Linked DNA regions of Macaca fascicularis. The main gene of each other region encodes a partner of the protein of the gene in region 2 in a complex. Links are inferred from orthologs where the notes say so. Each region holds a gene or a part of one and is shown on either strand. Other genes may lie near its edges.

The links.
Region 1: SNRNP40 (region 2) and PPIH share a complex: the UniProt entries of both Homo sapiens proteins name them as parts of the U4/U6-U5 tri-snRNP complex. The link is inferred for Macaca fascicularis from reciprocal best matches to the Homo sapiens genes SNRNP40 and PPIH.
Region 3: SNRNP40 (region 2) and CDC40 share a complex: the UniProt entries of both Homo sapiens proteins name them as parts of the postcatalytic spliceosome P complex. The link is inferred for Macaca fascicularis from reciprocal best matches to the Homo sapiens genes SNRNP40 and CDC40.
Region 4: SNRNP40 (region 2) and BUD13 share a complex: the UniProt entries of both Homo sapiens proteins name them as parts of the minor spliceosome. The link is inferred for Macaca fascicularis from reciprocal best matches to the Homo sapiens genes SNRNP40 and BUD13.
Region 5: SNRNP40 (region 2) and USP39 share a complex: the UniProt entries of both Homo sapiens proteins name them as parts of the U4/U6-U5 tri-snRNP complex. The link is inferred for Macaca fascicularis from reciprocal best matches to the Homo sapiens genes SNRNP40 and USP39.
Region 6: SNRNP40 (region 2) and RBM22 share a complex: the UniProt entries of both Homo sapiens proteins name them as parts of the postcatalytic spliceosome P complex. The link is inferred for Macaca fascicularis from reciprocal best matches to the Homo sapiens genes SNRNP40 and RBM22.
Region 7: SNRNP40 (region 2) and CD2BP2 share a complex: the UniProt entries of both Homo sapiens proteins name them as parts of the U5 snRNP complex. The link is inferred for Macaca fascicularis from reciprocal best matches to the Homo sapiens genes SNRNP40 and CD2BP2.

What each region holds. Positions count from the first base shown.
Region 1 is NC_088375.1:192,203,566-192,207,065, forward strand, and holds part of PPIH (peptidyl-prolyl cis-trans isomerase H), read right to left. Parts: intron 3,460-3,500; coding exon 3,367-3,459; intron 2,320-3,366; coding exon 2,232-2,319; intron 1,753-2,231; coding exon 1,712-1,752; intron 963-1,711; coding exon 894-962; 3' UTR 877-893; intron 1-876. UniProt on the Homo sapiens protein: PPIase that catalyzes the cis-trans isomerization of proline imidic peptide bonds in oligopeptides and may therefore assist protein folding. Participates in pre-mRNA splicing.
Region 2 is NC_088375.1:203,713,518-203,717,476, reverse strand, and holds the start of SNRNP40 (U5 small nuclear ribonucleoprotein 40 kDa protein), read right to left. Parts: upstream 2,801-3,959; 5' UTR 2,764-2,800; coding exon 2,623-2,763; intron 1-2,622. UniProt on the Homo sapiens protein: Required for pre-mRNA splicing as component of the activated spliceosome. Component of the U5 small nuclear ribonucleoprotein (snRNP) complex and the U4/U6-U5 tri-snRNP complex, building blocks of the spliceosome.
Region 3 is NC_088378.1:14,240,477-14,243,976, reverse strand, and holds part of CDC40 (pre-mRNA-processing factor 17), read right to left. Parts: intron 3,213-3,500; coding exon 3,073-3,212; intron 2,419-3,072; coding exon 2,322-2,418; intron 994-2,321; coding exon 854-993; intron 43-853; coding exon 1-42. UniProt on the Homo sapiens protein: Required for pre-mRNA splicing as component of the activated spliceosome. Plays an important role in embryonic brain development; this function does not require proline isomerization.
Region 4 is NC_088388.1:115,610,320-115,613,819, forward strand, and holds part of BUD13 (BUD13 homolog), read right to left. Parts: intron 3,313-3,500; coding exon 3,207-3,312; intron 2,557-3,206; coding exon 2,418-2,556; intron 2,096-2,417; coding exon 1,911-2,095; intron 1,360-1,910; coding exon 1,278-1,359; intron 1-1,277. UniProt on the Homo sapiens protein: Involved in pre-mRNA splicing as component of the activated spliceosome. As a component of the minor spliceosome, involved in the splicing of U12-type introns in pre-mRNAs.
Region 5 is NC_088387.1:35,945,862-35,949,361, forward strand, and holds part of USP39 (ubiquitin carboxyl-terminal hydrolase 39), read right to left. Parts: coding exon 3,338-3,500; intron 1,294-3,337; coding exon 1,151-1,293; intron 1-1,150.
Region 6 is NC_088380.1:157,581,478-157,585,597, forward strand, and holds the start of RBM22 (pre-mRNA-splicing factor RBM22), read right to left. Parts: upstream 2,801-4,120; 5' UTR 2,709-2,800; coding exon 2,655-2,708; intron 2,220-2,654; coding exon 2,166-2,219; intron 985-2,165; coding exon 955-984; intron 348-954; coding exon 215-347; intron 1-214. UniProt on the Homo sapiens protein: Required for pre-mRNA splicing as component of the activated spliceosome. Involved in the first step of pre-mRNA splicing.
Region 7 is NC_088394.1:28,493,692-28,497,659, forward strand, and holds the start of CD2BP2 (CD2 antigen cytoplasmic tail-binding protein 2), read right to left. Parts: upstream 2,801-3,968; 5' UTR 2,731-2,800; intron 2,224-2,730; 5' UTR 2,198-2,223; coding exon 2,120-2,197; intron 1,840-2,119; coding exon 1,704-1,839; intron 1,579-1,703; coding exon 1,421-1,578; intron 1,321-1,420; coding exon 885-1,320; intron 805-884; coding exon 698-804; intron 632-697; coding exon of another isoform or gene 613-631; coding exon 502-612; 3' UTR 1-501. UniProt on the Homo sapiens protein: Involved in pre-mRNA splicing as component of the U5 snRNP complex that is involved in spliceosome assembly.

The DNA.
Region 1 (3,500 bases), about 12 Mb from region 2:
TGGAAATGGATGAGGAGGCAAGAAGGGAAAGAAAAAAACCAATGTCAAGGCAAAGAAATAAAACAAGAATGTTAATCACTGGTGAATCTAAGTGAAGATATATGGGTGGTCAAGGTATTCTTCTAACTTTTTTGCAGGTTTGAAATTAAAAAAAAGAAAAACATTACTATCCCTCACCTCGGATTTCCCCCTTGTACTCTTCTCACACTTGGCAGTGTCACTCATATTACTAGTGATGACCTCTGAGAATGTCTTACTTCCCATGAGCTCCTGAAAGGAGACACCTTTCAATTCTTTGCCCCGCTCTCTGCAGCGAGCATGCTGCCCAGCGCAGAGCAGGCAGTGGCAAATACGGGTAAGAAATGAGTCCATGTAGGCTGGAAGATGCAAGGCATTCACCTGTGAGGCCGGCAAATACGAAGTCAAGGCCTGGAATTGCAGTATCAGTTCTGATGAGGTGCATGACAGGCGTGTCTCCTGGCTGCTTGGCCTGGTCCCAGCAGAGAGTTACTCAGGCCTGGAGCCAGGTCTTTCTAGGGGGACTACTGAATGGAACTGTAGTCTGAAAGTGCTGTTACAAACTGCCTGAGTAGTTTTCAGATTGATACTTTGTACATTACAAAGTGATAGAAAAGTACAGTGCTCCTACAACCCTTTCTCTTTTGATTTTTACAGTGACTCTGAGAGATAGGTATTACAGTATTTCCATTTGACAGATGAGGACACATGCTCAGAGAAGGAAAGTGACCACTCCAAGGTCACACACAGAGGAACTGGGCTCAATCTCATGTCTTCAAGACTAAAGATCTTTCCACTAGACCATGCTGTCTTCTTTGAGGTCTGACTCCTAACCTAATAGCAGAAAGACACACTTACCTGATTCAGTCTTTGGACTACATCTCCCCACACTGTGAGATCACCACAGGCAGCTTGGGCTTATTGTTGGGGCCTGTGGGAACATTCTAGGAAAAAAAGCACAATGGACATTCATCCACTCAGGCACTTCCTCATTCCCTTATCAAACTTTTACTGATGCCTGCCAGCCCCTGTGCTAAGGACTCAGCACTCAGAAACTGTCCATGTCCTGGCAGACAGGTATCAAAGAGAAAATGCAAAACACTTAGAAAACATCAAACCTATGATAATATAACAAAAAGTTATGAGAGAGTTGGATAAGGGGTAGACGGGTAACTAAATTGCTGCTTAAAGAGGTCAGGGAAGGATTCACAAAAGAGGATTATTTGAACTGTGCCTAGAAGGATGAATGGGATTCCACCAGGAGGGAAGGAAAGAAGAGCATTCCAGCTACAGGAAACAGTGTGAACAAAGGCTCAGGAGCAGGAAAGAGCAAGGGGCAGAGATGTGTATGGCAGATTTAGGGAAGAGCTAGTAGCCTGATGTGACTGGAACATGAAAGAGGCAGTGGCAGGAGAAGGGGCCGTGGAGAAGTAGACAGGGACTAATCATGAAGGACCTTGAATGCAATGCTGAGGAGTAGAATTTTATCAAGTAGGCAACAGGGTCGTCAGGGGCCAAACCTCAGTGCTGACCAGACAGGCTAACTTAGGTGGTCTCTCCTCCCTTTTCCTGAAGCAATGAAGACTGGGCCTAACAAACTGGAGCTCATTCCCCCTTCTCTAGCTCCTGGACGCTAGTCAGACAGTACCAGACCAGAATGGGAGAGAAAGAGAAAAATCAAAGCAGTACTTACCTCAATCTTTCTCATCACTAGAAGTCCATCGATGATTTTTCCTGTAGGAAGAGTGTGAGCTGGACTTTATTCTTGTTTACATAGCGTTTTCCAGCTTCCAAAGCCCATTCTTAGCTATTATGTCATTAGATTCTGTTACTAACTTTAGGAAATTAAGATGCAGTAGAGGTGAAATGACTTGCTCAAGGTCATAGGTAATAAGTAGAGTTAGGGCTCACACTTATATCTGAGTGACTGCAAAGTCTCACCATATCATGCTGCCTGTATGGCATTTCTTTGGTGCTAGCTACTGGGTTTTTCCCCTGAGTGGTTCCATACTATATCAAATGGCCCTTTTGTCCTTCCCTCTAGTTCTCTAGCCAAACATGTTCCCCACCTCCCCACCATTTCTGTTTTCTCTGTTACCACCTAAGCAGTTATCCAAGTTGAGCATTCTTGGTAAGAGTCTGAGAACTAACTCCTCTGGAGGTTCCATCCGCGGTGAATGGGGCCTGGACCATGGGACATGAGTAGGACTTACCAAACACCACATGCTTCCCATCCAGCCAATCGCACTTAGAGCAGGTGATAAAGAACTGACAGCCATTTGTACTCGGACCACTATTTGCCTGATGGAAACCAAATATACCTGCAGTAAGTTTCCTTGGCCATGTTACCTGATGGGTAAGATTCCCAAAAGAGCTTGTAACCCTAATCCCTCCATGTTTTTTTCAGTAAATCTAACTTAGCACCTATTATGAGCCAGGGCCTAAGCTAGGATCCAAGGATCCAGAGATGAACAGGATATGGCTCACTGCAGACTCAAATTCCTGGGCTCAAGCAATCCTCCCACCTCAGCCTCCCTAGTAGGTGGGACTCCAGGTGTGTGTCACTATACCTGGCTAATTTTTTTTTTCTTTTTTTAGTAGAGACTTAAGTTTCACTATGTTACCCATACTGGTTTCAAACTCCTGACCTCAACCTCAAGCAATCCTCTTGCCTTGGCCTCCCAAAGTGCTGGGATTACAGGTGTGAGCCACCAGGCCCAGCTATGAATATGTCTTGAAAGCACAGCTTTTTACATTCTGAGCAGTAGGGCTGAATGCCTAGACACAAACCCTGGTTCATATTTTAGTTCCCCAGCCTGCTAGCCTGCTAGAGGGTCTTACCTACTGGTTTTCTTTTCTTTCTTTTCTTTTTTTTAAGACGGAGTTTCGCTCTTGTTGCCCAGGCTGGAGTGCAGTGGCACGATCTTGGCTCACTGCAATCTCCCCTTCTTGGGTTCAAGCGATTCTCCTACCTCAGCCTCCCAAGTAGCTGGGATTACAGGCACCCACCACCACACCTGGCTAATTTTTTGTATTTTTAGTAGAGATGGGTTTCACCATGTTGGCCAGGCTGGTCTCGAACTCCTGACCTCGGGTTATCCACCCGCCTCAGCCTCCCAAAGTGCTAGGATTACAGACGTGATACAGGCTCACACCTGTAATCCACCATGTACCTACCGGTTTTCTCAATCAAACCAGACTGAGAAAAGAGGTGGTAAAGGTGAGTCCTGGGGCAAGCAAGAGAAAGAAAGCATTTGCTTTCATCATGCCAAAACACAGCATTGGGCCTCAAGAGGGGCCCAGAAACCAGCTGGCTGTAACGCAAAACCTTGATTGGACCTCACTTACCATGGAAAGCAGGCCTGGGGCTGAGTGTCTAAGTTTAAAATTTTCATCGGCAAATGGCCCCCGGTAAATACTGGCAACTCCAGTACCATCTCCCTGAGCAGACAGAAGGGAAATATTAGTGACTTGGAGTGTTG
Region 2 (3,959 bases):
AGTCTTGCTCTGTCACCCAGGTTGGCATGCAGTGGCGTGATCTCGGCTCACTGCAACCTCTGCTTTCTGGGTTCAAGGGATCTGGTGCCTCAGCCTCCCGAGCAGCCAAGATTACAGGCATGCACAACCATGCCCAGCTAGTTTTTGCATTTTTAGTAGAGATGGGGTTTCACCATGTTGGCCAGGCTGGTCTCAAACTCCCAGCCTCAAGTGATCTGCCTGCCTTGGCCTCCCAGAGTGCTGAGATTACAGGCATGAGCCACTGCACATGGCCTATTTTTCTTATTTTTTTCATAGCGAAGGGATCCTCAGCACGGGTGAAGTAGTTTTGATTATGGTCTTGGACACTAAGATGACACTTGGGCAATTCATCTAAACATGGGCTGATATGCTCACTTGTCAAATGGGAGAAGTATACTACCCATAATCCCCAAATCTCTTCAGCACTTTCCAGCACATTCTTACTTATTTATTTATTGGGAAGGAGTCTTGCTCTGTTGCCCAGGCTGGAGTACAATGGCATGATCTCATCTCATTGCAAACTCTGCCTCCTGGGTTCAGGCGATTCTCCTGCATCAGCCTCCTGAGTGGCTGGGATTACAGGTGCCCGCCACCAAGCCCCGCCACATTCATTTAGTTTTAAAAAATGTTATGTGCAGGCTGGGCACGGTGGCTCACACCTATAATCCCAGCACTTGGGGAGGCTGAGGTGGGCAGATCACTTGAGGTTAAGAGTTTGAGACCAGCCTGACCAACATGGTGAAACCCCATCTGTACTTAAAAAAAAACACAAAAACTAGCCAGGCGTGGTGGTGGGCGCCTGTAATTCCAGCCACTCGGGAGGCTGAGGCAGGAGAATCGTTTGAACCCTGGAGGCGGAGGTTGTAGTGCGCTGAGATCGCGCCATTCCACTCCAGCCTGGGTGACAAAAGCAAAATCCCATCTTAAAAATAAAAAGTTATGTGCTAGGCACTGGGCAAACAGCTATGAACAAAATAAACAATGGAGCTTGCTGTTCCAGTGGGAAAGGGGGAAGGGAGGAGAGAAGGTGAGAGAAAACAAGCAAAATATATACTTGGTGTCATGTGCTATAGAAAAAAAGAAGGGATGGGCAAGGTGGCTCATGCCTGTAATCTCAGCACTTTGGGAGGCCAAGGTGTGCAGATTGCTTGAGCTCAGGAGTGAAATCCTGTCTCTACAAAAAAATACAATACAATTAGGTGTGGTGGTATGTGTCTGTGGTCCTAGCTATTCAGGAGGCTGAGGCAGAAGGATTACTTGATCCCTGGTGGCGGAGGATGCAGCGAGCCAGTGGTCAACACAGAGAGATTCTATCTCAAAAGAAAAAAGAGAGAGAGAGAGAGAGAGAGAGAGAAGCAATGTGGGTTCCACATTATGTGGCACTGCAATTTAAAACAGGGTGGTCAGGAAAACCCTCACTGAAAAAATTACATTTGGGCAAATATTCGCAGGAGCTGAATAATAAACCATGTGAACATTTGGGAAGAGCAATCCCATAGGGAGGACAGCAAATGCAAAGGTCCAGAGGCAGAGGTTTGGAAGAGAGTGTAACTGAAGCCGGGTGAGCAATGAGAAATTGGTCAGAGAGGTAAAGGGAAAGAGGACAAATAATTATAAGAATTTTGGTTTTTACTCTGGATGAAGTAGAAAGCCACCAGAAAGTTTTCTGCAGAATGTAATGTGATCCGTTGTTTAGAAGGATTCCTTTGGTTATTGGCTTGGTAACAGGTGCTGCTACAAAGGCAGAAAGTGGAAGACCAGTTAGGGTCCCACTACAAAAATGCCAGATGAGATAATAACGGCTTAGGCCATGAGGCAGTGATGGAAATGGTAGAAGTAGCAATTCTAGATCTATTTTGAGAACGGTGCCAGCAGGATTTATTGAGGAGATGAGAGGACACTCGTATTTCCTCGTCTGAGCCTAAACAGGGCATTAGAAGTGTGATCACTATTTCCATCTTACAAAAAATATAGTTAGGAGCATGGTTTCTCAGTTCAACATCTGTTTCTATCACGTGCTTGATAAGTCTGCTTTTCCATCTGCAAAATGGGTTAATAACGTTCCTAACAGGCTGCTACCAAGATCAATGGAAATTTCATATACGAAACACCTTAGTACAAGAGTCAACGAATGTTAGCTGCTATTCAGTTGTTAATAATACTAGTGCAGAGAAATAAAGGGAAAAGCAACTTGCCCAAAGTCCCAAAACGAGCCAACACCAATCATTTCCCTCTTTTCCTCCCTCCCTCATTCATTCATTCTACAAAGTCTTCGGAATTTCTGTTCTACGCTAGATCCATGTTAGAGTCAGGATGCTTAAGCCCGGGTCCGGGTTGTGAGCCCAAGGTTCTCAACGCTAATTCTAACGCTACCTCACAAGGCAGTCGAGAGGCTGAAAACCAGCGCCAAACGGGCGAACAAGTACTGAGCATCCGCAGGCTATGAGGCGCTTTTACAATGTTGGTGTGCTTTAACTCTAGGTAGAAACTCTCGTTCTGCCCCCCGCAATGCGGGAAGGGTCGGTGCCGGGTCACCAGATACAGCGCTCTGAGGGGAGGAAGATGAGCTGAGGGCCAAAGGCCGCCTGCTTCTTCACTTACCGCTTGCAGCAAAGCTCCCGGCGTCGCCTGCTGCTGCCCGGCTCCCGGGCCCGACCCCGCTCCCAGTAGCAACTCATGCCGCTGCCGCTTGACTGGAACCAGCGGCAACTCTGGGCCCTTACGCTTCTGTTGTTCTATCATGGCGGCAACCGGTCTCTTCAGCGCCGCCACTGACCGCGCTGCCCCCCTCAGGCGCCACGCAATTGGTTCCAGCTTAGTCCTTCCTCCACAACTTCCAGCTTGGAAGAACCAATCGGTTTTCAATATACCCATTTGCACTGCCCTCGGATAGTCTCTTGTTATTGGGCATATCTTTCTGACGTCATGAGAGTGCGATTCCAGGATTGGTGGACGGAGCTGGCGACCTCCCTAGGCGCGCTGGGTCTTGTGGGTGGAAACGCGCTGGCTGACTGGGCTCGGCGTTTAGTTCAGCGCCGGGACTCGGGGGCCTGGAGCTGACGCCTAGTACGTATGAGGAAGAGCTGGGTGGGTGGCAGCCTGAGTCTGAAGGCGACGCCTCGGTTGTGCAGTCTGAAGCTGCCCTTCTCAGCTGAGGGTGCCGATAGCAAGGGGTGGGAGGCGGGGCCCCGAGTCCCCAGCTGTGGTAAGTAGTAGCATGGGCTCCCTTTCCGGGCGGGAGCGGAGCCTTGGGGGTCTCTGGCGGCAAGACCCAGTCCCTGCGGCTCCCTTCTTCAAGAGCGCCCGTCGTGGCCAGTCCTGTGCCGGGCATTCCCAGGGAGAAAGGCCTGTGTTCCAACTTCCTCCGGCGCCCCGTTTGGCCGAGGAGGCTGACTTGTTTCTGCCACTGATTTTGCAGTTTTTGATTAGGGCCTAGTCTCTGCCCCCCTGAGAGAGACAATGATGAAGGAAATGTCCGACTCCTTCTCCAGAGCGCAGTCTTGTTGAGAAATTTGAGACTCATGCCCATGAACGTGGTCATTGCGTCAGTCGTCCAGCTGATATTTATTTAGCAGCGCGTTGGGGGTACGTCGTGAACCAGACACGGTCCCTACTCTCAGGGCGTTTAAGTCTGGTGGGGAAAACGTTAAACAATGACCTCACTAATACATGGAAATGCCTCCTAGTGCTGTTTGATGCTGAGTGCCTGAAATAAGCAGGAAGGTTTTTCAGAGGAAAAGATGCCTGCTCTGGTAGCTGCAGGAAGAATTGTAATTAATTAAGTGAAGAGGTAAAGGCAGAACCTTCCGTAGAGAACTACTTGTTCAGAGCCCTGAGGCACTTGGGAGGAAAAATGACTAAAAGCACAAAGAGCCAGTGTGACTGATACAAAGAGAATGAAGGGGAGTATGGTACAAGATGAAGCTGTACGTGATAGC
Region 3 (3,500 bases), on a different chromosome or scaffold from region 2:
TAAATGGCCAGAGAGAGGAAACAATCTGACTGCACTGACGCCCTATAAAAAGGTATTACAGTTATCAACCAGAAGCATTCAAAAGATGAGCTCAAATGAAGCATCAAGAAAAGACAGTATATATTAAGTACCCTAATTTGCTATTTTTCATTCCAAAAATCACACCCCAGAATAACTTTCATTAGCATTCCAAGAGCAGACCTTATTGACACCAAGCTTTTGAAGATTTTTTTTTCTAACCTTTAATATTGAGTTCCTCACCCAATGGAATCCTGAGTCAATCAAATTGCTACTGCCCCCACTTCTCTTCCTTTTTTTACTTAGTCCCTTTGCTCTTTGCAAAGAGTTGGAAATTACAAGTTGGAATGGTGCATATGACAAAGAATATCAACATCAAAAATTTTCATGTACCTTATCTCTGCATTAGTTTAAAAATTACCATAGTTTATAAACCAGGGCGCATCTAATCTCTGAAGTGTGATAACCACAGAGCTAAAGCAAAATTACTGAAACTAAGCAGGAGACTTGGTGCTAGTACCAGCCCATTACTCACTGATTTGGTGCCCAAAAGGAAGAAGATTGTAGCAGGAGCTTATGGGGAAAGGCCTGGCTACAAGGATGCAGAACACTAAATCATGAACGCTATATCATGGCCAATTCAGATGGCTTGAAGACTGATTAGTCACCTGTGATGGATGTGCGGGCACCTCCAAAGCCTAACCCAGAATTATATTCAATTTGACTTCCCTGCACCTTTACCAGAAACACTAAATGTTCCACATCAACAGCTAAAACTGTATGTTGGCTTCATTATAATAGCATTACAGCAAACAGAAACAACCAACTTGCTTACCTTCGTGTGTCCAGACCACACATGAATTTGTTTTTTGGGAAGATAACACTTCTCAGGTGGCATAGTTGACCGTAGATTAACACCAACATCCTGAGGTATGTGAAGATAGGACCTGCCTTGATAGTCATACATTTCTTTAACTGAAACAAAAAGGCAAAGAAAATCAATAAACAAATACAACTCATAGTCATGAAACCTATATTTTTAAAATCACATTTTTTTCACAGGGATATCTTCCATATTAAGGTTCAGGTAGTAACACTCCAATGATGTAAAGATCAAGAGTCAGCTAAGATATAAGTGCTTAAAATAACTGCTATCATTTACAACTAGAGGTAGTATTTCGAAATTCCTAAATACCCAGAGATTACAGACCTTTAGATAAGATCTATACTTCTTTTCATCACTTACACATCTTAGTAATCTATAAAGACTTCACTGTGGCATAATTATAGCAAGGGAAGATAATACTTGGGCCTTGTGAGTCACTGGTAAAGAAGCAGAAGTAAAACAGGTTAAGAAGGAAGTTAAAACAAAACAAAATATATCAACTATCCTTTTCCCGTGCTTTCCTCTTTTATGCCCTTCCAGTTCCCTTTCATTTATCTTTTCCTGCTTTCATCACAAATTTTACAATAAGGTCACCTGTGAGATTTAAATGACATACTGTATATAAAGCAATTAGCAACATGCCTGGCACAGAGTAAGTACTCAATAAATGTTATTATATTATTGTTATTATAGTTTTGAGCACCATAGTACTGAATAGACTCCTTGGAGATAAAACTGAAGCTTGAAGAATGAAATATGGCTTCATCAAACCTAAATATCTGATGTAATATAACATTAGAATAAGCAACACTGTAAGCACTAAGTTATTCTTTACAGTTTTAGATAATCACTATGTAAGTTCCTAAAATATAACTAATTATTAACTAACAGGTACATTCTAGAATACTTATGATTTATTTTGGTGAATATGCATTTCCTTCTACAAGTCAAAATAAGTATGAAAGCCTTAATCTCCATCTTTTCACATGAAAATCCAAGTTTATTCTGAGTATAGCTGAATAACGGTTATGAACTGTGTGGATACCTGAGTATTTGGCTTCATTAAAAACAGTTAAAATGACTCGGGCACTATTAATACACCAAAAGAGTCAACTTTATCTTACGAAAGAATAGACTGTGGACTATTCAAGTTTCTTCTTTATCTATCATTTAATAAAATTCATTAACACTTGGAAAAAAATTATCTGTGGCTATGATTAATCATGCTATTTTTTCTCCTTTATCAGTGTACAGAAGTCTGCTGTAATTTCCTTGGGATACAAATTGTCTAACATAATTATACTCAACATAATGATTTTATGACAGCTGATAGTAAGGGTAATGATACTGTATGAACAGCTAACAGAGTAAATATAAAAGGTTTTTCATAAAAATGAAGATGTATAAAAAATGTTACCATGTAAGATTGTCTTCTCCTCCCCAGGTTTCTCTTCTTCCTGCTTTCCTTTTTTCTGCCTCTTTGCTGTGATTTCATCCAATTCTTTTTGTTCTTCCTAAGAAAATTAAGGAGTGAAATTTAAAGTGAATGTTCTAGAACCTCATTATACCTAAAGTTGGTGCTATAAATTATTTATAATGAGGTCTACATATCTGGTCCAAGTATGTTCCCAGGATAACAAGCTCAACACTTTTTTTTTTTTTTTTCTGAGACTGGCTCATGAAGACAGTGAGATTAGGAGGTGAGGAAGGGAATGGCAGAGCATTTACTTTACAAACTTTATAGTAGTTTTAAAAATACACATAGAGATAACATTTGTTTAAAATTTTAAATAAATTCATAAATCAATAAAACTTCTAATCAATTCTAGTGTCATAGAAGGCTGATTTTGTAGTTACTATCTGAATGTCTAGTATCAGAAGAACAGCTACCATGGCAGCCTAATAGCAATATCAAGGAAATCTTTATGAAAATTGTTCAATATTGTAATTCAATAAAAAAGCATGAGAGAAAACAAATCAGCAAAAAAGGTAAATAAAAATATTTCAAAGAAAAATAAATTTTATTGTATATTTTCAATCAACTAAAGGCAGAAAAATTTTGATGAGTCATTTGGTTCTCTAAGGAAATCTCAAGTTTATCAATGTAGATATCCTTCATAGAGATACAGCATAGACCTGAACTGACAATTACAAACATCAAAGCTTACTTCTGAAGGTTTGGCTACATCTTTTTCATCCACATATTTTGCCCATGGTCCCAAGAAACCATCAATATTGGATGCATCATTTTCTTTAAACTTTTTCCTCTTTTCTGTTTTCTTCTGACCAGTTTCAAATACAGTTAAACCTACGGTAACCAAAAAAAAAAAAGAGAGAGAGATGTACATTTTCTAAAGAAATATGAACAGATGTTTATTTTTGTTTTATATGGTTAAAGAAAGATGATTGTTCAAGTGACCACAGAGTCATTAAAAAACAAACAAGCTACACGAATCTACCACATACGCTGACTCATGCTACACAAAAAGGGATTCAACCTTCTGGGCAAAGATACTTAAAACTAATTCAATATTCTGCAAATTCTAATAGTGTATACTTGAAGAAGAGACCCAAATATGTGTTCCTACAATGGCAC
Region 4 (3,500 bases), on a different chromosome or scaffold from region 2:
TCTGAGGTCATCAGTAATTTTTAAGAGTGTAGGCCAGGCATGGTGGCTCAAGCCTGTAATCGCAGCACTTTGGGAAGTTGAGGCAGACGATCATATGAGCCCAGGAATTGAAGACCAGCCTGGCCAACGTGGCAAAAACCCCGTCTCTACTAAAAATACAAAAATTAGCTGGGTATGGTGATGCACACCTGTAATCCCAACTACTCAGGCCGCAGAAGCATGAGAATTGCTTGAACCCGGGAAGTGGAGATCGCACCACTGCACTCCAGCCTGGGCAACAGAGCAAGACTCTGCCTCAACAACAACAAAAAACAAGAGTGGTTGTGCATGGTGGCTCACCTGTAATCCTGTAATCCTGTAAACCTGGAATCCCAGTACTCTGGGAGGCCAAGGTGGACGTATCACCTAAGGTCAGGAGTTCGAGACCAGCCTGGCAACATAGTGAAAACCTGTCTCTACTAAAGATATAAAAAATAGCTGGGCATGGCAGCACGCGCCTGTAATCCCAACTACTCGGGAGGCTGGGGCAGGAGAATCGCTCGAACCCGGGAGGCAGAGGTTGCAGTGAGCTGAGATTGCGCCACTGCATTCCAGCCCAGGCAACAGGGCGAGACTCCATCTCAAAAAAAAAAAAAAAAGAGTGTAAAAGGATCCTGAAATTAAAAAGTTTGAGAATTATTGTGCTAGATACTAAAACAATGTCCTTTAGTAGGCAAGAGGAGATAGAATCTAATACGTAAGTACACGAACTGACTCTGGATGGAAGCAAATATAGTTCATCCATCATAACAGACAGGAAGTTAGAGCATGTGGGTACAGATGCTGGTAGGTAGACAGATGAGGTGGTAGAGGACCGTGAGACATTAAAAGTGACTGCCTCCTAAGACCGTAAAGTGAAGAAAGATTCAGAGGCTACATTTTAAAGACATATCACATAGAAGGCTCCAGACTACGACTCATCACTCGACCCCTCTAAACCTTAGAAAATATCATTAAAAGTAACCAATGTCCAAAACAAAGGGTGTCTTATCTGAACCACCTGAGTTGTTTGTACAGAGCTTTAAAAAGTGTTATGAAAAGGAAACAGAAAGAGGAGTGTTCCAAGCATGAAAAATAGGATTTGTGGACCTCAGAAATAGAAGCAAGCAAAGTGCATATTTTTCACCTTGTGATTAAAGCAGAGAATGAAATAAAGTGTGGAGCAACTTACGAGTGGTTAGGGAAGGTTACAGTCAGGTAGAAGAGAAAATAAAAACCTAAGAAATACCCAGGCTTACCTGTCCACTCCATCCCAGCGATATCCGGGCCAGATATTAAATCTGTTGGGAGGAGGTGCTGGACCACTGTAGCGAGGTCTCACTAAAGAGAGGAGTAAGAAAAAAGTATTTAGTTAATGACATAATTTAATTCAGAGCTGGATGGCAATGTGGGAATTTTTTATTATTATTATTATTTTTTTAATAGAGTCTCACTCTGTTGCCCAGGCTGGAGTACAGTGGCACAATCTCGGCTTACTGCAACCTCTGCCTCCTGGGTTCAAGCGATTCTCGTACCTTAGCCTCCTAAGTAGCTGGGATTACAAGCGTGCACCACCACGTCCAGCTAATTTTTTTTTGTATTTTTAGTAGAGATGGGGTTTCACAATGGCCAGGCTGGTCTCCAACTCCTGACCTCAGGTGATTCACCCACCTCAGCCTCCCAAAGTGCTGGGATTACAAGCATGAGCCACCGTGCCTGGCCCGGAAAAATTTTCACATAGAAAGACCAGTTGAGTTGAATCTAAACTCACAAATACAATGAATTTAAATTATTTGGGAAATCCTTCCTTGCATACAGCTATGTATCAGAATCCTAATGATTCTCTCTCTTCACAAGTCACCTCCAGCTCTGATGATTCCCAGAAGTCCCACCTTTTTTATTCTTGTTCTCCTTGGCCTTATTCTTCTTGATGAAGTCGGCCATGGGGTCCCCCTCTCTTTCTTGTTCTCTTAGCATCCTATCCAGATCTTCGTCATCAATATAGCGGGCCAGAGGCTTTTGCATCTCTTTCACTGCATCCTCCACATTTTGTTGCTGTTGCCGGCTCTGGGCAAGCCTGGGCAAAAAAGAACCAAGAGTGTTTGCTATCCTGTATGACATTTCCACTTCTACACAAGATGGACCATACTGCTAAATTTGGAGACTCTCCTCTTTCTAGTAGTACCCTAGGGCAAATACTGAGCAGGGTAAAATTCCCAGAATATCCACTGGAAGTGTGGAATATATCAATATCCTAGGAAGAAGATTCAGCACACCAAATTTCCCATTACTGATAACAGCTCTGAAGGCATAATAAGAAAGTGAGTGATCAAGAAGAGCAGAGAAATGACTTGTTCCAGTCACTGCCATCTTGTTTACCCTTTCAGTGGTTCCCTTACCCTTTTCCCCACTGGGCATACAGCTCATCTCTCTCTGAGTCCTTTTCTGCTTTCCTCCTTTGCTCTAAACGTTCCAGTTTCAAATTCCTCTTACGACCAGACTTATCTCGAAATACGGTTTCAGCATATTGAAATTCAGCTGCAAAGGAAAATTATACTCAAATATCAGGATCAAAATCAGAAATAACATTCTAAGAGATCAAATCAACCACTTGGGATTCTAATGCTGGATAAGAACTTCTGCAGCCAGACCAAAGTAGTTCCTACCAACATCTAGGTGCATATTGGCACTGGGCCCGAGAAATGGCATTTTTCTTTTTTTTTTTTTTTTGATATGGAGTCTCGCTCTGTTGCCAAGGCTGGAGTGCAGTGGCGCGATCTTGGCTCACCGCAACCTCCATCTCCCGGGTTCAAGCGATTCTCCTGTCTCAGCTTCCTGAGTAGCTGGGATTACAGGCATGCAACACCACGTCTGGCTAGTTTTTTTCTATTTTTAGTAGAGACGGGGTTTCATCATGTTAGCCAGGCTGGTCTCGAACTACAGACCTCAGCTGATCCACCCGCCTCGGACTACCAAATTGCTGGAATTACAATGAGTCACCACGCCTGGGCGAAATGGCATTTTTCAAGAAGGAAAGAAACACTGGGACTCACTGAGAAATTACAACCATGCATAAAACCAGAGCTGAAATTTGATAGCAATTAAAAGTTTAAAATACCAGGTACAATAAGCTAAATTAAAAAAAAAAAAATGAGCCTGGATTGGTCTCTGCACTTTCATATTTTTACCTTCAAATGCCATGGTTTCTTGATCCTGTTTCTTGAGCTCCTGCTGTTCTCGCTGTATGTCAGTTAACACCAACCCAGTTTTAGCCCCAGAATACATGTGTGCAGCCTATGCAATGGAAAAGGGAGCATCCAACATTAATGAGATGATGTGGCAGTAGGCTCCACGGGTACACAGTTAGTTGCATTTGTGTCTGATGACCAGCAATAATTAAACCTCAAACTCTAGCTTTATATTCTCATTAATTACCATAGGATTCAAAAACTATAAAAGAAAATCAAATTTCATCAAAACCA
Region 5 (3,500 bases), on a different chromosome or scaffold from region 2:
TTTAATTCTACTGTCTCACAAACAAGATGTTAGTGGAGAAAAGTGGGGGAAAAGAGAAAAGAGAAAATTCCCCTGTAATTCTCAACTGCAAATGTTCTCTCTCCTCACCCTCCATGGTTCTAAGAGTCCTAGCAATACTATAACAAGATGTTACACCTGGACAAACCCCGAGGGCTCAGGCCCATCTACTCCAAGCTGCTCATTTTATCTTTGAGAGAACATACCCAGAAAACATGCAAACTACGGGTCTGAGGGCCCACCACTAAGGCAGCCTAAAACTCGGGCCTCTTAATTTTAGATACTACCTTCTTAAACGCTACGTAGAATTTAAAACTGACACTACTTCTTTCTTTCTTTTTTTTTTTTTGAGCACAGTCACACTCTATCACCCAGGCTGCAGGGCAGTGACACCATCTCACCTCACTGTAGCCTCAATCTCCAAGGTTCAAGTAATCCTCCTGCCTCAGCCCCTCAAGTAGCTGGGACTACAGGTGTGCACCACCACATCGGGCTGATTTTTTGTATTTTTTTTTTAGAGAAGGGGTTTTGCCATGTTGCCCAGGCTGGTCTTGAACTCCTGAGCTCAAGCGATCCATCTGCCTTGGCCTCCCAACGTGCTGGGATTACAGGTGAGCCACCATGACCAGCCCAACATCTTCTTAAGTGTGAAAAACCTTGTCTCTTGAGAACTGAAAACCAACAGTCTACCCCCAAAAGGATTTTGCAGAAGTTTTCTGAGTTAGAAGGAAGCAAATTAAAAGCATCTAGTACAACTCCAGTGTGCAAAAAGGTGTGATAGCCAGCAAATAGATGGGCAGACCCTCACTACTCAGGACATCTTCCAAACCAGGCAGAATTCTACTTGTCCTATCCTACTTGCATCATTTCTTCTTCTCTACGCAGGAGGACTATAATTTCCGGCCAGCAACAGGAGAGGGGATAAACAGGGATTGCCTCCTAGTAAACATCTATCTTTTGTGGTCCCTGAAGTTAAGTGTATCCTTCCAATAAAAACTGTTATCTACTGTAGGTAGGCTCTGTTAATTGTAATCCCCAACTAAGACAGTCCAAAATTAATACTGGTAAAAACATAAGAGAAGAAATCCAGGTTCACTCCCCGTGAGAGGAAGTGAAGCAGGGTGTTACTTACGTAATAGGGAAATTGACAATAGTTGGATTCTTCTCAACAAAGAAGTTGTTCTTAGTGAATCTCTTGATACAAAAGATTAGATATGGAGGTAGCTTGGTAAGCTGGAAGCGCTTCAGAAAGTTCTCCTTGTAAGTCTTATATTCCTAGAGAAAAAAAAGAAAATTATCAAATTAGTGCTGAAGTTCAGTAGGTATTAGAGCAGGGGCATGAGGTTTTCATTTTGGTTTTTGAAAATGTAATTTTGCCTCACACCGAAAGTTCACAAGACTCTTGGTCCCAGAAATTATGTATGAGGCTTAGGATGTGCAGTTTGGCTAAGGCTGACTTAAAAAAAAGGCCAGGCCTGGTGGCTCACGCCTGTAATCCTATCACTATAGGACGCCGAGGCAGGCGGATCACTTCAGCACAGAAGTTCCAGACGAGCCTTGACAACATGGTGAAACCCAATCTCTACTAAAAAAGAAAAAAAAGAAAAAAAAAAAAAAGGCCGGGCGCGGTGGCTTACGCCTGTAATCCCAGCACTTTGGGAGGCCAAGGCCGGTGGATCATGAGGCCAGGAGATCGAGACCATCCTGGCTAACATGGTGAAATCCTGTCTCTACTAAAAATACAAAAAATTAGCTGGGTGTGGTGGCGGGCGCCTATAGTCCCAGCAACTCGGGAGGCTGAGCCAGGAGAATGGCGTGAACCCGGGAGGCAGAGCTTGCAGGGAGCCGAGATCGCGTCACTGCACTCCAGCCTGGGCGACAGAGTGAGACTCTGTCTCAGAAAAAAAAAAAGAAAAGGAAAAAAAAAATATATATATATATATATAAATATGTATGTAAAGAAAGCAAGCTAACCAGGCATGATGGTTCATGCCTATAATCCCAATATTTTGAGAGGCTGAGGCAGGCAGATCACTTGAGGCCAGGAGATCGAGACCAGCCTGGCCAACATGGTGAAACCCCATCTCTACTAAAAATACAAACATTAGCTGGGCATGGTGGCATGTACCTGTAGTCCCAGCTATTCAGGAGGCTGAGGCAGAAGAATTGCTTGAACCCAGTAGGCAGAGGTTGCAGTAGGCTGAGATCACACCACTGCACTCCAGACAAGGAAACAGAGTGAGACTCCATCTCAAAAAAAAAAAGTATGTCTCCCCACTTTTTGGAGTTTCTCCTCTCCTAAATGACCTTCTTTTCTCTATACTACCCAGAAGCAGGCAGGAAGCTGAAAAAAGGATATATGAGAAGTACAAGAGGGGGCACTGTGGTTGGGCACTGGTTCACATCTATAATCCCAACACTTTGGGAGGTCAAGGTGGGAAGATACCTTGAGGCCAGGAGTTAAAGACCAGCCTGGGCAACAGAGTGAGAGCTTTCTCTACAAAAAACCTTAGCTGGGCGTGGGGAAGCGTGTCTTTTTTTTCTTCACAAAATAAAAAATTGGCCAGGCACGATGGCTCTCACCTGTAATCCCAGCACTTTGGGAGGCCGAGGCGGGTAGATCATCTGAGGTCGGGAGTTCGAGACCAACCTGACCAACATGGAGAAACCCCATCTCTACTAAAAAGTCCCAGCTACTCAGGAGGCTAAGGTGAGAGGATCACTTGAGCCCAAGAGTTTGAAGTTGCAGTGAGCCATGATCATGCCACTGCACCCCAGCCTGGGTGACAGAGCAAGACCCTGTCTCAGAAAATAATAAAAAGATGGGCACTGTAAGTTAAGAGTTGGGCGTGACCAGCTAGAAATACCAAGGAGTCTGGTAGGCTCAATAAAGTCAATATACTTTAAAATAAATACATTACATACATGTGGTGATTCTTATGTATAAAATGAAAATGGGCCGGGCATGGTGGCTCACGCCTATAATTCCAGCACTTTGGGAGGCGAGGCAGATGGATCACTTGAGGTCAAGAGTTCGAGACTAGCCTGGCCAACATGCTGAAATCTCATCTCTACTAAAAATACAAAAAAATTAGCTGGGCATGGTGGTGGATGTCTGTAACCCCAGTTACTCAGGAGGCTGAGGCAGGAGAATCACTTGAAACTGGAAGGTGGAGATTGCAGTGAGCTGAAATCATGCCACTGCACTCCAGCTTGGGCGACAAGAGCAAAACTGTCTTGAAAAAGAAAAAAAAAAGAAAATGAAAAAGTCAAGAGCGCAAAGATAAATATAGGCAGGGCAGGTGTGTTAATGGGCTACCTTCTCAGTGATGCCATTGAATTTGGCCAGGATGTTGAAGAGTGGCACTTGGGGAATGATGAGCTGCTCCTTCTCGTCCTTGTAGAGGGGGGCAGTAGGAAGGTCAAGTGTCAGGTACATAAAAGTGGACTCCACCATCGTCTCCTGGTACTCATCATTATGG
Region 6 (4,120 bases), on a different chromosome or scaffold from region 2:
TTTGATTAATTCCCAAATTTTCCTTAAGTTCCTACTATTGTTCAGGACTCTAGAACAGACTAATTATGGTTCTTTTCCTGGGAAAAGCAGACCACAGCAGACATTCCAAAGTGAAATCAGAACCAGAGCTAGGGTGAGAAGTGGGAGACAAAAGACTGGCTTGTAGTTTTAGGCACCTGCACACTTTCAGATCTATTGGACAGGTCAAGCATACCATACTCTAGGTCTAAGAGGCAGGTCTGACAGACATTCTTCAATTTACTGCAGGTTTGGCACACTTCAGTCTTCTTGAAACGCATGCGGACTCCAGGGCACCAGCGAAACACGGTGAATGGCCTGGCACAGATCTGGAACACAAAACAAGAGCCACAGAATGTTAATGGCCCTGATCTGGGCAATCTGGAGCTCTGATAACAATGGGGCATTCAAAAAAGGATCCCTGAATGTAGGGTTTAGAAGAGACCTTAGCAACCATCTAGTTGATTTGATGTTTCAATACAATTTTCAGCATCCTTCTCCAGCAAAAATTCAGAGTACAGAAATGAAATAGCCAAAAGGTCAAAGTTCTTCCCATCCTAGAGGTAAGCACCAATAATAATCTGAACCTTAATCTTTTTTAGGGGGAGTGGGGAGTGTCATAAAATTTTTTGAGAATCTTCTGACAGGGATGACCTTCCTCCTCAGCTAAAATGCTCATGTGGACAGTCATATACCACCTGGTATACAAACTCCTTCAATGCCCATCCACTGACATTAGAATCTCTACATCAGAGGGTTCATTTTCTTACCTCCCACATAAATAGTTGCCAGCCAATGAATATATCAGTAATACATAAAAAGTTGTATGGCACTGATTCTTACTGGAAGACCTCAAAACTTAGTAAGCTGAAGGCTAATTTGGTAGAGAAAAGAAAAATGAAACAGAAATCATTACTCTTTAACAGACATACTTACTTTGCATTCCTTCCCATACTTTTCTTTGGTCTATAATAGAAAAAAAATAGAAAAGAACTGGAGTTACAGAAAGAAAAAAGCCAGGTGTCTACTATTTCCTTAAACATAACCCAAGAAATGTGTCTGGAAATCCCTGGCATCCTAGAGAGAGAGAAAAACAACAACAACAACAACAAAAACCAAAACCCAAACTTTTTTGGGAAGAGGGTAGGAAACATACTATAACAACATATTGTAAGTTATAACATCTCAAGAGTATACGGATCTGGGCCAGGTGGCAGCGGCTCACGCCTGTAATCCCAACACTTTGAGAGGCCAAGGTGGAAGGATCGCTTGAGCCCAGGAGTTCCAGACCAGCCTGGGCAACATAGCAAGACGCTGTCTCCACAGGGAAAAAAAAAATAGAGTATATGCATCTAATACTAGGTAACTGAGTGTCTTTCCACAGCCACAACTCCTAGGTTCATTTTTGGCTCCCAAGTTCACTCCCAAGAACTAACATTCCTAATGGTTTCCACAATCCCTAAATCAGAGAGGATACAGCTATGGCCCGCCCACTTTACAAAGTTTAGTCAAAAGGTAGCTACTGTAGACTTGACCTGTGCCAGTGCCCGGAATATAGTAAATGTTCTGTTTAAACAGAACTATTCAAACATCTTGAACCATTCAAACATCTTGAACATACTAATATATCAACATCTCTACGACTACACAATAATACAGCCCTAACCTAATTATTGTTAACTGGTTCTAATTTTACCCTTGTTTATAAGAAACGGGGAATGCTTAAAGAGATAAAGTACACTGGCCAAAAGGCATTTGACCAGGAGTCAGGAAACCTAGTTTTTAGTTCTGGTTCTCCTCCTATCATGCTGACATTCCTACAGCCAGAATATCTGAACTTGAATCCCAGCTCCATTCATTACTATTGTATGAAAAGACACAAACGCTCTCACCTTCTGGTCAACAGACCTATTTCCTGGGTAAATGCTCAACAAATACTAGCTATCATGATTACCCCTACATCACAGGAGTGTTACCGGATTCGTAAGTAAGAGAATACACATGACAGTTCTTTGCAAGTCGTCCAGCACTTTGGGTTAGTAAAACAGCATCATTTTTTCTGCTTGTCTAAGAGAAACACTTCACAGTGTGCAAGTACCACAACACTGACAGGACATGAATAACTCGTTTCACACGCGATCACTCACCATTCGGATATATGGGTTTTCTCCAAGACATGTCTGGCACAGAATGGGGAAGTCCTGGTGAAAATGGGAAATCTGGTTGAGGACCACCTTCCGAAGACCCTGACACCTCAGTGACACTTGGGGCGGCGAGGGGGCGGGAAGCCAGGGTGGGGAACAAGGTACGGCAGGAACCCGAAGTCCATCACGACCCGATCGCGGGAGGGGGCGCTGTCTGCACTTCCGGCAGGCGGCGGGAGAAAAGAAAACCAGCTCGAATAGGCTGGAGGGGGCAGGGATGGAAAGGGCGCTGGTCCCGGGACCCTGGCTAAGCCCCCGCCCTTCAAGCCCGCAAGAGGATCGCCCTCCGGCCTCCTACTCCGGCCAAAGCTAGGCCACCGCCTTGGCTCCTCCCCGGAATTCCTTCGGCCGCGCCGCAGGCCTTGTCCTGCGAGCTTGCAAGGTGCGCGGCTTCGCCTCCTCCTTCCATCCTCCTCCGGCAGGAACACTCACCGCATCCTCCCAGTTCTGCCTGTTGTAGGTGTTGGAACCCAGAGAGGTCGCCATCTTGAGAGCGTCCGGAGGCAGCTGTAGCTTCCGAGTTGGGAGAGAGGACCGCCACAATCCCGTCAAGCCCCGAGGCTAGCGCCGGGCTAGTCGGCGTCTTAATTACGCGTCCAGTGCCTCTTCCGGGGCGGAGCCTTTGCGTCATGACGTCGCCCGCTCTTGGAATTTCTAAGCTTAACAATCCGGGTCCTGTTATATTGTACCTGGATGCTTCCTTTGAGTTTTTGCCTGCTTGGAAAGAAGGGCCACACGTGCAGCTGATTTATTTAAAAATTGGGCGAAAGAATAAAGTAAGACGTAATGCATAAGAGGCTGGGATTAAAACAGCGTTCCCTACCATTGAGGCGCTTATTATGCCAAATGCTGGGCGAACGTCTTGTGGTTCCAGTGTCTCATTTGTTCTCATAACTTCTCTGTAGGGCTGTCAGATTCTTATTCATTCTCTCTCTCTCTCTCTCTCTCTCTCTCTCTCTCTCTCTCTCTCTCTCTCTCTCTCTCTCTCTCTTTCTCTCATTACAGAACGTCTAAAGTTGAGTTTCAGATTAACAGCGAATCGCTTTTTAATTATAAATATATTTGGTACCTACTTGTACTAAAGTAGGATTCGTGGTTGGTCTGAAAGTCGCATCACTTAACCAATCTTCCTGTATTTTATCTGGTAACTCTACCCTGTAGGCAAGTATGATGATCCTTCTTTTATAGAAAAGAAAACAGTTTAGAGAGATTAATCTCTCCTGATTTAGCTCCTAGTTGTGGAGCTAAAAAGTGGTGAAGCCACAAATTCAAAGACATTAGTACTGTTTCATTTCCAGCTTCTGAAATGACAAGGGCCTTATGAATAAACATATGCATTATTTGATTTTTGGAATAACTCGTAACCACTCCGCCAATATTTTATGAGTTTCAAGCCATTCTGGTACCACTTTCATACTTAACGGGTCATCAAACTACCTAACATATTTATTTAAATCACCTCAGGAAAAAAAGGTTGATTTAAAGTATAACTTCACATAAATTTTTATCCTTTTTAGTTTTGAATTTTTTACATACATTCACTACAGTCAAATATGGAATTGTCTATCATCCCCAAAGTTCCCTTGTTTCTGTAGTTAATCCACTTATTCCCATACTCAAACCATGGCAATCACTAATTTGTGTTCTGTCCCTAGTTTTGCCTTTTCCAGAATGTCATATAAATGGAATCCTACATAGCCTTTTGGATCTGATTTTTTTCACTTAGTATTTTGAGTTGAGATTTCATCCATATTGTTACATGTATCAATAATTTCTTCTTTTGTATTACTGAGTAGAATTCCATTGTATGGATATATCATACAATTCACTTGTCAGTTGCTGGACATTTGGGTTGTTCCCAGATTTTAGTGAATATAAATAAAACCATTATAAACATT
Region 7 (3,968 bases), on a different chromosome or scaffold from region 2:
AAACGTTTCCATGCCCACCCCCAACAGAGACCCAATGTCTTCTCCATGCCCCGGTCCTTCCAGGCCTAAAAGCTCCACTTCTGGGGCTCCATCCCCTGGTGGCTACAAGGACAAAGAATCTGACATCCTGAAAGCCAAAGACCTAAGGGGAATCAAACAAGAAACCTCAGAGAGGAACACAAAGTAGCGCAGTTGGGGGTGTTTACACAGCAAGCAGAGTCCAGGCAGTGAGGCCACAGGACACCTGACAGGCACCTCCAAAGAAGATCTTCATGGGAGCAAACACTCAGGGACCAAGGCAAGTCCAAAGTGGCTGTGGAGAAGGCCCCTGGCTTCTGGCCGTCAGCACAGCCAAGGCCCCAATACACAACTAAAGGCTTTTATTGGGAAAGGGAAATTGACTGAAAAATGGCCTCCAATTTCCTCACTGCCTGAGACACTTGGTGCCTTCTCCACAAAGTCCAGGAAAGAATGACCCACCAAACTGGGCCCCCAGCAGGCTCAGGTGTAGAGCTCAAAGTCAATGCGTTTGGAGTTGTAGAACTGACCACCAGGGGGGTCCAGCTTCCGGCAATAAACACCGTCCGGGAAGTAGCCTTCACTCACCCAGGTCTGCAAGGAGAGGGCAGAGCTGGGGAAGGACTGACAGGAGTAGGGGAAGCAGGGACAAGCCAGAAGGAGGGAGAAAGCAGCTCACCTGCATCTGGGCGCTGGTGAAGGGCCCATACAGCTCGGCATCCCCCGTGTTCTCCCACTTATATTCCCACATCACATCCACCAGACCATCTCCTGGCGACTCTGCTTCTAAAATAACAGGCAAAGCCATTTGACCTCCGGTGTCTCACTTCCCGCCCACTGCCCCCTCCTCTGTCCTCCAAGCTTACCTCCTCTCTGGGTAGGGGTTGGGGTCTCCAGTTCCTCCTCTGCCACTTCCTCAGCGAACATGTCCAGGGAGGGTGGGGGTGTGGGATTGTGGGGTCCCACGGTCTGACACCCCAAACCCTTCAGCCGCATAGCCAACCGTTCCCTTGTTTCCTGGTACACGCCAAGGTTGCCCCGGGCCACCATCTGGTCGGCCAACCCGGAGAGCCGGTCCAGGCGCTGAGGGGAACTGGGACGCCCAGGCCCCTTGCTGCTCCCTTTGCCTCCTCCTCGGGCCCCTAGACGCCTCAGTGCCCCAGCCACTGTCTCTCTAGGCAACAGAAGCTCCAAAAGTCCCTCCAAGAGGGCTTGGGCACTCATTGGGGTCTGGCCCAAGCTGTCTTCCTCCTCCGAGTCTGAGGCCTGGTGCTGGCCAGGTGGCCGCTCCCGGATCTTCACCTGTCATGGAAAGATGCAGTGATTTCCCACGAACTGCCATGGGAGCAGGCCTAGCATCCGCCACTCCCCGGCCCCAGCCACACCAGCCCCTGGGCCTCACCCAGTCAATGTTGTCCAGCCAGCTGTCTCGGATCTGAGCATCCCGGTTCAGGAAGTAGTTGCCATCAGCATCAAAGTGTCCTTCCTCCATCTCCTCCTGCAGGTTAAAGGGTGTGATCCGAACACCCCCCTCGCTGGGGAGTGTGGCTGCCTCCTGACCTGTACCAAAGACACAGGTGCCCTTTTCTAGGCATGGAAAAGAGAGACTGGAGCCTCCCTCACTCCACACCACCAGAGGCCCCTACTTGTTTCTCCAGCAGAGTGTATTCTTGGGTACAGCTCACCTTCTACATCCTCTGAGGCCAGGATGTCGTATTTGCTGGACCCCCCATCATCATCATCCTCCTCATCGCTATCCAAAGAGTGTTTGCCTTTGAAGCGGCTCCCAGGACCCCCTGACCCAGCCACAGGGTCCACCAGCTGTGAGCAGGAGTCAAGTCAAGAAATGCAGGTTACTGGCTACCTCCCCAAATACTTCCGGATCTGGACCCAAATATTCCCCAAATATTTCAGGATCTCGACTACTTCCCCAAATATTTTAGGACCCACACTGAAGATGCTCCCAACCCATTCTTCAGAGAACCTGAAAAAACTAGGCTTTTCTCTGCCTGCCCGCCCCGCCCCACTCCCGCCAGCTTTCTTTCTCCTCAGGCTTCTAGCTCCTCTCTTTCCCCCACACAAAGGAGTCTGGCCCCCTCACCTTCTTCTTGGGGACACTGATTTCATCCTCATCTTCCTCATCTCCCACGCCTTGGAAGGTCACTTTCCTCTTTGGCATGACGGGGCAGAGAGGTGTTTCTCAAGCTGAGGAAAGGATACAGAGAAAGAGAATGGGGTGAGGAGGGGACTCGCCACCAGAGGACCCAGCACAGCAAATATTTTTCCTGGTCTGTGACAGGTACAGTTTGGGAGCGGAGGGAGCACAAAAGCAAGGGCTGAAGAGAAGCTGGCAGCCAGGAGGCCTGCAGGACTTGGGTCTAGCATCCGCGAGTTAAATGGGGTGGGGACGGAGGAGCGGACCCTCTGGATCCCCTGACCCTGGCCAACAGGGAACAGACTTCACCACGTGACCGCTCCCAACTCCAGCCCCCGCAGTCTGGGCGCCACCGGCTCGACCGGCTGACCCCCGCCTCCTACTCTGGCTCTCTCGGAGCTCGCGGGGCCCGGGCAGACCCAGGACCTGGCGCTCTCGCCACCCCGTTCCTCCCTGCTCCGAACTCCCAATTCCGTGTGGTGAGCCCCAACTGTCCCGGGCTGTGTACAAATTAGAGGGCCACGGGGATCCGGGCTGTCCCACCCTCGCGCGCTCACCTGGGACTCCGCGGGAGGCGAGGTGGCGAAAAGAAGAGATGCTTGCGCCAAGGCTACATCCGGGGCACCCGGCCGCCATCACCCGGAAGAGGACTGTGGAAGGCGCCTGGGAAGCCCGGAAGTGGCTTCACTCGGGTTAGGGAACTAACTGGAAGAGCGGGCGGAAGTACGCGGTGAGCGAGGGAAGACGCCTCCACCCTCTCTCCCGCAAGAAGTGACGTCAGTCGCGTGGGAGGACAATGGCGAGAAGAGGGGACCTGTGAATGCCTACACTCTGACCGGGCGTGAGAAATGGCCGGAAGTACCTTCGATTCCCTCATTCAAGCAGTAGAGGCTCTGGAGAAAAACGAGAGCATCTACTTAAAGGGTCGCCCAGGGTCAGGATGGAGGGGCAAAGTCCGAGCAGGGCCAGTGGGTCGCTGCCCCGTTTTCCTGTGCTGGGTTCGAGTCACCCTTCCACCAGGGCTGAGGGCTCAGCGCCCCTACCGTCTCGTTAGAAATCCTGCCTTCCCACTCCTGTGGTCCGGTGGTAAGCTCTCCTATCTGAGAGGTGGAGCCTTGCCCTCCCCGAGGGGAAGCCTGGCTCTCCCGATGGCCAGCCCGGGGCCCCTGGACGGCTCTCGGGGCACTTTCTGGACACAGCTCCCTTTAGGACCCAGGGGAAGTCATTTGTCCCACGCCCATACCCTGGGCGAGTTCCTGGCTTCTGAGGTGGGAGAGCCATCACTGGAGAGGTGGCATTGGCACCAGTACCCAGGCCAGAAGTCCCTGTGCCCTGCTCTCAGATAGGCCTGGAAAAGGGCAACAGTGCCTCTCTGTAGCATGAAGCCCCTCTGAGCAAACAGGGCCTAGCACCACGGCCTGGAAAAGGGCAACAGTGCCTCTCTGTAGCATGAAGCTCCTCTGAGCAAACAGGGCCTAGCAACTCGTGCCCAGGTAACAGAATGTGGCCCAAGCAGAAGCGGGACTGGGGGAGGTGGCGGGGGGTCAGCCCCTGTACTGGAACCTCTAGCTCTTGAGGACACTCGGAGCCTGCATCCCCCTAAGCAAAGACTGCCCAGGCGGCACCTGCTGGAGCCAGACGAGGACAGTGTGAGAGTTCCCCTACTCTTCCCCAAGGCAACTAGATGGGCCACTTCTCTCTCCCTAGGGATTTCCTCCCATATTGGATCACGATGGAACTGCACAGAAAGTCCATGCTCAGTTTCTTCCATGGTTACAGAACACAGGCCCCAGAC